Arabidopsis thaliana: one gene and its partner. The protein of the gene in region 1 interacts with the protein of each later gene in a pairwise test. Each region holds a gene or a part of one and is shown on either strand. Other genes may lie near its edges.

What was found.
Region 2: the proteins of AT1G15260 (region 1) and PRA8 interact in a two-hybrid assay, tested with the Arabidopsis thaliana proteins (one large-scale study listed by BioGRID).

Annotation. Positions count from the first base shown.
Region 1 is NC_003070.9:5,247,858-5,251,177, reverse strand, and holds AT1G15260 (LOW protein: ATP-dependent RNA helicase-like protein), read right to left. Parts: upstream 1,419-3,320; 5' UTR 1,345-1,418; coding exon 808-1,344; 3' UTR 605-807; downstream 1-604. Other genes in the region: AT1G15270 (Translation machinery associated TMA7), read left to right, coding at 265-345; AT1G15250 (Zinc-binding ribosomal protein family protein), read left to right, coding at 1,797-1,799, 1,874-2,009, 2,116-2,217, 2,307-2,353; AT1G15240 (phox (PX) domain-containing protein), read right to left, coding at 2,574-2,711, 2,794-2,876, 2,977-3,103, 3,278-3,320.
Region 2 is NC_003074.8:4,494,148-4,498,701, forward strand, and holds PRA8 (PRA1 (Prenylated rab acceptor) family protein), read right to left. Parts: upstream 2,654-4,554; 5' UTR 1,622-2,653; coding exon 1,055-1,621; 3' UTR 832-1,054; downstream 1-831. Other genes in the region: CYP90D1 (cytochrome P450, family 90, subfamily D, polypeptide 1), read right to left, coding at 4,183-4,267, 4,493-4,554. UniProt on the Arabidopsis thaliana protein: May be involved in both secretory and endocytic intracellular trafficking in the endosomal/prevacuolar compartments.

The DNA of each region.
Region 1 (3,320 bases):
GTGACTACAACTAGATGGGTCATTTCTATTAATTATTTGTTAGTTTAGGGGTATTCATTACAGATTCTTTTGAGATGATATGGACTAGTTTCTTCTTACTTTGATGAAATAGTGACCATTTGCCCATGTTAGGATGTTTAGTCTACTTTTTTTCCACCCAATTGTGTGAAAGACTCATTAGCCTTTCTTTCGCATGAGAAGTACAGTGATCATTTGTTACCGAAAGCCTGACCTGTTTTGTTTTGAATGAAAATGATAAAACAGGCCCTTAAAGAGCTTAGAGCCAAGGCATCGCAGAAGGGATCCTTTGGAGGTTCTGGACTTAAGAAGAGTGGCAAGAAATGATCCGTTTTATCCATGAAGTGTGTTTTAAAATGCAAATTTATCAAGTGAAAAAAACAGATAATCCTGTGTTGATGTAACTTTTTATCATAATTCGAGAAGAGTAACTTCGCTTCTCCATACATATGTTTGCTTTCTCCATTTTTTCATGAAAAAGAAAAGTGGTATCTACCCTAAAATCATTTTGTCAAGAATCGAGTAGTAGGGTGTCACATCTCTATCTTCAGATATAGTATTATAAACTGTAAGTTGTCATAACTTGAAGTGGAAAATATGTTGCATTGATAGTAGTTGAGAATAGGAGCGTAACTTGACTCTACAAGATGAGGTAGAAACTGAGGGTGGTGACAGGTGATTTTACCAAAGCGGTGTGTGTAATGGTTAACACTGTTCTTAAGAAGTGCATACTCTATAGATGAAAGAACTACAGATAGCCCGTGAAAGCAAAGCTGATCCAGAGGAACTTTAAAGCCTGAAGGAGCCTGCCTTTCTCCTTGAACCGTTGATCTTAGCAGAGGTACGAGGATCAGAGAACTCGTAATACATGTCTGTGAAGAAATTGTCAACAATGTCAAGATACACAGGACTTCTGATGCTTGAATAGCATCGAAGCGCTTCCCTTACATCCAATGCGTGATCCACGTCTCTCAGATCCACCATATTGAGATCTTTCATCTTTTGCGCCAACGCGTCACCTCTTTTCTTTGCATCCTCGAATGGCTCAGCGACTTTCTTCGGTTTCTTTTTATGTTGGTTGTTGAGACTCTTCTGGTGTGTTGTATCTGCCACAGCCGTGTCACAACAGATAACGGTGTAGCTTTCTTTGGTTTGGGTTTGGGAATCTTCTGGACAGCGGCGGCTGCAGGAGTAAGGGCTCAAGAGAGGAGTGTCGTTAGGTAAGTTTTTGTAATCACTAGAGCAGATAGTGGACTTGATGCTCCCAAGAGTCTTCTTTAAGAAACGACCAACTCTCTGAATTGATTTTGATGTAGGTTTCATCATCTTTCTTGCTGCTCATTTTTTTGAGAAGATAACCATATTTATGTCACTAGGGATCTCAAAAGGAAACCTAACATTGATTTAGTGGCATGTAGTAGTTGAAGAAGCAAGCTGATAGTGTCAGACTTTAAGAAGGTGTCATCTTGTTGATTGTGTTGTCCACTTTTATAGGTAAGCAATCGTCATCACATTGATAAGCAGTGTTCAAAATTGGTCCCCTACTTATCATTGCCACCACCACTCACTACTCATATTATATATACTGTATGCCAGTTGACTCGAGGTAATATCAGAACCAGGCCCATGAAGCCCATTAAGAAGCCCATATTTTTGGCGGTAACCAATGAAGATCCATTTTGGGTAGGAAAAACCCTAAAGGACGCTACACAGTCGTCTTCTCGGAGCCGCAAAGATTTCTGTAGAGCAAACTTTGATCATCCCCTGCATCTGCGGCAATGGTAATCTATTGGCATTTTTTTTCCATGTAAGCTCATGTGTGACTTATGTGTAACCGGTGCTTTGGAAATGACAGGGTAAAGGAACAGGGAGCTTTGGTAAGAGGAGGAACAAGTCACACACGCTCTGTGTGAGATGTGGTCGCCGGAGCTTTCACATCCAGAAGAGTCGTTGCTCGGCATGTGCTTATCCAGCTGCCAGAAAGAGGACATGTATGTACTCTCTCTCTATTTCTGTCTCTGTCTTGGAATTTTGGGTCTGATCATGGAGAATTGGAGATATATGAAAGAGTCCTGGAATTTATGATTTTGTGTGCAGATAACTGGAGTGTGAAGGCAATAAGAAGAAAGACAACAGGAACTGGTAGGATGAGGTATCTCCGTAATGTCCCTCGAAGGTTCAAGACTTGCTTTAGAGAAGGTAAAGCTACATTGCACCCTTTGCTTCACTTAAATATTTGATATAATCTAAGACTTGCTCAATCTGATCGATGGAATTCTGTGAATCAGGTACGCAAGCCACCCCAAGAAACAAAGCTGCAGCTTCGTCTTCCTAGGCATTGTTCAGTTTGCGTTTTGCCATCTCTTTCTTGCTATGTAGCTTTTTTTTTTAATTCGTTTGTTTATCTTTTTTGCTCTTGTACTTCCTTTACTGTGCAATCCTATTTCTGATAGTGTGATCACTCATCAATGAAATGCATCCGTGCTATTACTGTTTAAAGAATTCTAGCAAAACTCCACGTAATATGGAAGATGATTACAATGAAAATCCAAGTATCAGTTCGGTGGTGTATATTGACCAAAGAGGTGTTTTTCGTAGTGCAATTTTTTGAAAGCTTGCTCCATTTCCGGAAACGCTGATAGTAGCAACAACTCCAAAATGTCAAACGCCAATTGCTTCAAACACACTGATGACTGAAACAAGAATAATTTTAACAATGAAATCATCAAATGCATGTAAGCATCGCACAAACCTGAAATCAAGTGGAATGTTTACCTGAAGGAAAAAGTAAAGATCTTCTGCACATTGTTCATACTCCTTTTGTCCTATAAGACTCACTATAGTAGCTGGGGCTTTTTCTGTGAGTTGAGGGTTTATTTCAAACATTTATGTTAGTTCAATTAAGCTTCGCAATCATTGATGCAAAAAAAAAAAATCAGATAACAGGACGCTCATTACCGATCATCAGCTCATGAACAAACTTTGCTCGTCTCTCTGCTTCTTGTTTCTGCTCCTCTTCAGAAATGCTGGATTGTTGCTGCCTTTTTGGATGCTTTGTCATGAATACACCATCCGGCCATAGTATCTGAGAGGTCATACCAAAGAGCTCTTTCAAATCTCACCACGGATTGAAATATAACAAGACCAAAGACATCACAGAGATATATCCCTGTTAGGCATACTTTTTCCATTATTCACTGTGACTTTCGCCACTACCTCTCACTGTGCAAAAGGAAGGAGTTCTAGTGGAGGTTCTCACCTGTTCAACCCGTTGAATTCCAGAAGCAACTACAGTTCCCCGC
Region 2 (4,554 bases), on another chromosome or scaffold:
TAATTGTTATTTAATAGTTAAACTAATAATAGGATAACAGCTGTCCAAATTGAATGAGAATAGTTTCTCAAAGTTTCTCCTCCAAGAAACTTAATTCTCCTTCTCTCCTACTTTTTCTTCCTTCTCTCTTACTTTTTCCTTTTTTATTATATTTTTTTTATTGGGTATCTCATTGAAAGACTACTGATGAAGATGCTCTTACATATCTAATGGCGTCCGTTTAGAATTACATGGGCTAGAATATTTGTGCCTTTTGAAAGACCTAATTATATATAAGGATTTTTGCTTCAAATCTTTACATTGGAAATTTGAATAAGGCCTGCATATATATCAAGGATTTTTGCTTCAAATTGCTCATTTGTGTGACCCAAATGAAAAAAGAACTTAAATCAAGACCAAACTTTTTTTCCTACTTTGAAGGTGAACCAACCTGAATAAACTTTACAACAAAAATTGATTATTTTTTTGTTACGGAATGCAAAAAGGGAATATTCATTACAACCCATTTTGAATTTATAATGTTTGACTTATTAATTTGATTATTTATTATGTATTTCAGATTAAATCATTTTAAATATTTCAGATTAATAAATCATTCCAAGAAATTATTCCTGAGTTTTGCGAATATAAAATACTCCCTCCGTCCCACTAAGATGAATTTTTTAGAAATTGCACATTTTTTAAGAAATATTGTATAAACATAATTTTAACCTCTTAATATATTTTAAAAATAATAATAAATATTTATCTAATTATTTAGTAAGGGTAAAACGGGAAAACAATTTTAAAATTTGCATTGCAAATATAAAATTTCTATCTTTGTAAGACAAATATTTTTCCTAAAAAATTTATCTTTTATGGACAGAGGGAGTAATAAAAATTATAACAAATTAGAATTGTTCAAACTTCAGACAGAGCTCAAAACTCAGAAAACAAAAGAGAGAGAGAAAGTCTCAAACCAAACTCACACCAATAAAAATTGATTACGCATAATTAAAAAAACAAGATAATATACAAAAATAGAAAAGATACACAAATTTCGAGATGAAACGATTTAAGTCGACGGGTATGACGTCAGCCCAGAAGTCTCAGTCGTCGCCGCTTCTTCATCCAAGAAAAGATCCTCCGTCTTCCTAACCACCGAATGGATCAAAACCAACACAGCTCCGGTCACAAGCGCTCCAACAATATTAAACGTCGCGTTGGTCAACAGGAGTAAAACGACGGTTAACACCGATAAAACAATCAAGACCGTCCGATCATCGATCTGAAACCGGAACAGCTTGATAGGCTCATCACGGAGAAAATACAGAAAGATCCAAACAACGACCAAGACGGTGAAGACGATGAGCGATGTCGGATGCCAGATCAAGCTGAAGAAGATAACGATCAAGACAACGATTGCGTAGTTCATACGGAAGTAAGCAAGATTGGTCTTGATTCTTGTGAACGCATCGGAGACACCGTGAGGCAGTCCCATGGAGTGGAAATCGAACATCACTCTCCAAGCACGGCGCGTGGCTAGCCCGGCTTTGATACGGTGTTTAGCGCGTGAGAGAGACTCGACATCCACCAACGGAGATGCATGAGACGACGTCGGAATCGCACCGTAGTTCGTCATTAGTAATATCGGGTTATGGTTTAGCGCGTGTGAGATTGAATAGAGAAAGTAAATGAAAAGACTGTTTGTTATGTGTATATATGAATTCTGAAAGGTCCCAAGAATTAGGTGATACACATTTGCATATGGCGTTTTCTAAACTAATCTATGTTTATGAAATAAAACAAAATTTAATTAGATCGTGTTTTAAAAAGATTACAATATAGTGTAACGTGAGGATTTGATTCACTACTTGGTCAATGTCTGAAAAGTATAAGTTTTAGATACTCGAGATTTGGGTAACAGCAATTTATAAGTAGATGAATTACTACATGTTGAAGGACTATATAGTTAATTTGAAAGACTAATGATAAAGTAAGAGACACGGTGTCACCGAGCGAGAGTGGCATTATTGAATAGTCGATACAGGCTACACGTGACCCCATTTTAGAGGAGTCTCTCTGGCATATAACTACTCTTTCGCCACGTGTAATGTCGGCAGGAACAATGAGTAAATTATTTATAGTCTCCCTCGGACTTTATCATGATTTTTAGTCAGCCCAATTACAAAAGATATTGGCCCAATACAACGAAGGTTTCATGTCACATGCTCTCTCTCCATTGGACGATCCACATCGATAGGCTTCTTTAGCGAGCCAGACTCATGGCTGCTTTAGAATTGATCCCGCTCTGTGAAACAAGAAAATAGTTAGCTTGTGTCAAAGCACAATACATATAAGATCAAAACTATACCAAAATGTATGATGGATTACAAAAATCTTAAGTTTTTCTCCATAAGAACCAGAGAAACCTATTCAACAAGATTGCTTAAATCAAAGGTATATTATATAATGTAGCTTTCGTTACAAGTAAGCAGAGAAGCAAATACATATATGTAAATCAAGTAGTACCAGATCCACATCACCTATTTTCAAAATAATTCTACATTTTTGTATATCTCAAGGTCTTCCAACAGTCTCTAGTGTCTGCCGCAGCAAACAAAGGTTCTCTCACGACTGTTCAGGGAGACTAATTAATCCCAATAGATGGGGGATATGTTTCACTGTTACCATTACCAATCTTATATGATCACCACCCACTAGAACTAAATGGTGATATACTCATTATATACTCTTATTGTTCCAATGGTTAGTGATCATACAAGATTCGTGATTGTAAAACGTATCCGCCATCTCTTGGATTAGTATCTCTGAAATTGTCTACTTACATGAAAAAAAAAGTTAGTGTTCTCCATGGCCATGCAAACTTCACCAAAAAAAAGCTATAACAACGGAATTTCGGGCTGGACTTATCATCAGCCAAACGAGAAATAACTAACAATAAATGAAAATCAAGGTCTTGAAAAACTCAAAATAGGGAATAAAAACAAGAAAAGGCTCAACGGCGGCGATAACATAAGAAATACCTATTTGCCTAAACAGTTGCCCGTCTTTGCCAATATATAGGCTTTTCTATTATGCAACTTTTGGGCCTTTAACAGGCTTAACGGATGGATCTCTTAAAAGTGAAGCCCTCTTATCCAAATCAATTCTAAAGGCTATTGTGTTAACATAAACAACTCGTAGTTACAATAGTGAGAAAAATGTAATATAGTACAATTAGTGGTTAGATCTGGTTGTTAGTGATGTTCAGTTGAAACAACACAACTTTCTTGTCTTGTCACGTTGTTTAAATCAATTTCAGTGGGTTGTTATGTTAATTACATCATATCATATAAGTGGAGGAGAAATAATATGACTTTGCTTAATCATTCATTATTACATCTAAAACTATTAGAGACTATTCAGAAAAGAGAAAACCATCACCCAGTTAAAAATTAAAAAAATAACTAGTAACTGTAAAATTGCTTAGGAAGCGTTGGCGTAAGCTAATGCTTCTCTGGATCCGTTAATGTCTTCAAAAATTTCCTAAATCTATTGTAGCTTTGTTTTTACTTTTTTTGCCAAAGTTGCTTTTGTACTGGTTTTCTTTGTAACGCCACAACTTCATTATTAATGATATTAACATATTTAGCAAAAAAACTGTAAAATTGCTTGAAATAGATGTAGACTATCATAATATCTTTATTAGACCATTCTTTTGGAAATATATAAATGATTGAACCAGAATTATAACTTTTCTGTAATGATTTTCTTAGTTAATAATTTAATATACGAAGAGGAATAGTCGTCCTTAACATTTAAAAAAAAAAAAGAGAGAGAGGAAATAGTCATGAAAATTAGGATTCTATATCATATGCATAATTATCATACACCTTTGTACTTCAAAAAAAAAATATATATATATATATATATATACGGTCAACAAAAAGGTTTTGTGATTCTGTCCTTATTTGCCTTGTGAAGGAATACGACAAAATAGTTGGCATGTGTGCTATCGTCTTCCACACGTGTGAATCATTTTTTGTCTCCAAACTCCATCATGTTCTCTTTTTTTCTTACCTTTTGCTGTCTCACTATCTTTTTCACTTCCCACTTACAAAACACTCGTGTGACTTCTTTAACCTTTTAGAGTTTGATAATGCAAAACTGATTCTCCATTTTTCACTTAAGAAAAATGATTTATATTCTTTTGATCCAAATGGGTAATTTGTTCTTCATATGCACCGTTGGGAAGTTTATGATTGTGTCTTCTTCTGCTATCCATCTGCATATCATAATCACCAACATATTTTCAAATAAGTCTCTGTATATCGTTTAAGAGTTAAGTCCAACTTGTCAAAAAGAGATTAGACATTTAGATTTATTTGGTCCGAACGTACCATTTTGTCTAAAGTGTAGAGCACTAATTACCACACCCTCTTGTTTGTTTTGAAATTTAAAGATTACAACAAATATTAAATAATTTTGTATCCATGTAACTGATAGTTACCTGAAGCGAGTGACAAGATGGTGAAGAAAAACTGAAGTTTCAAGACGAGCCAAATCGAGACC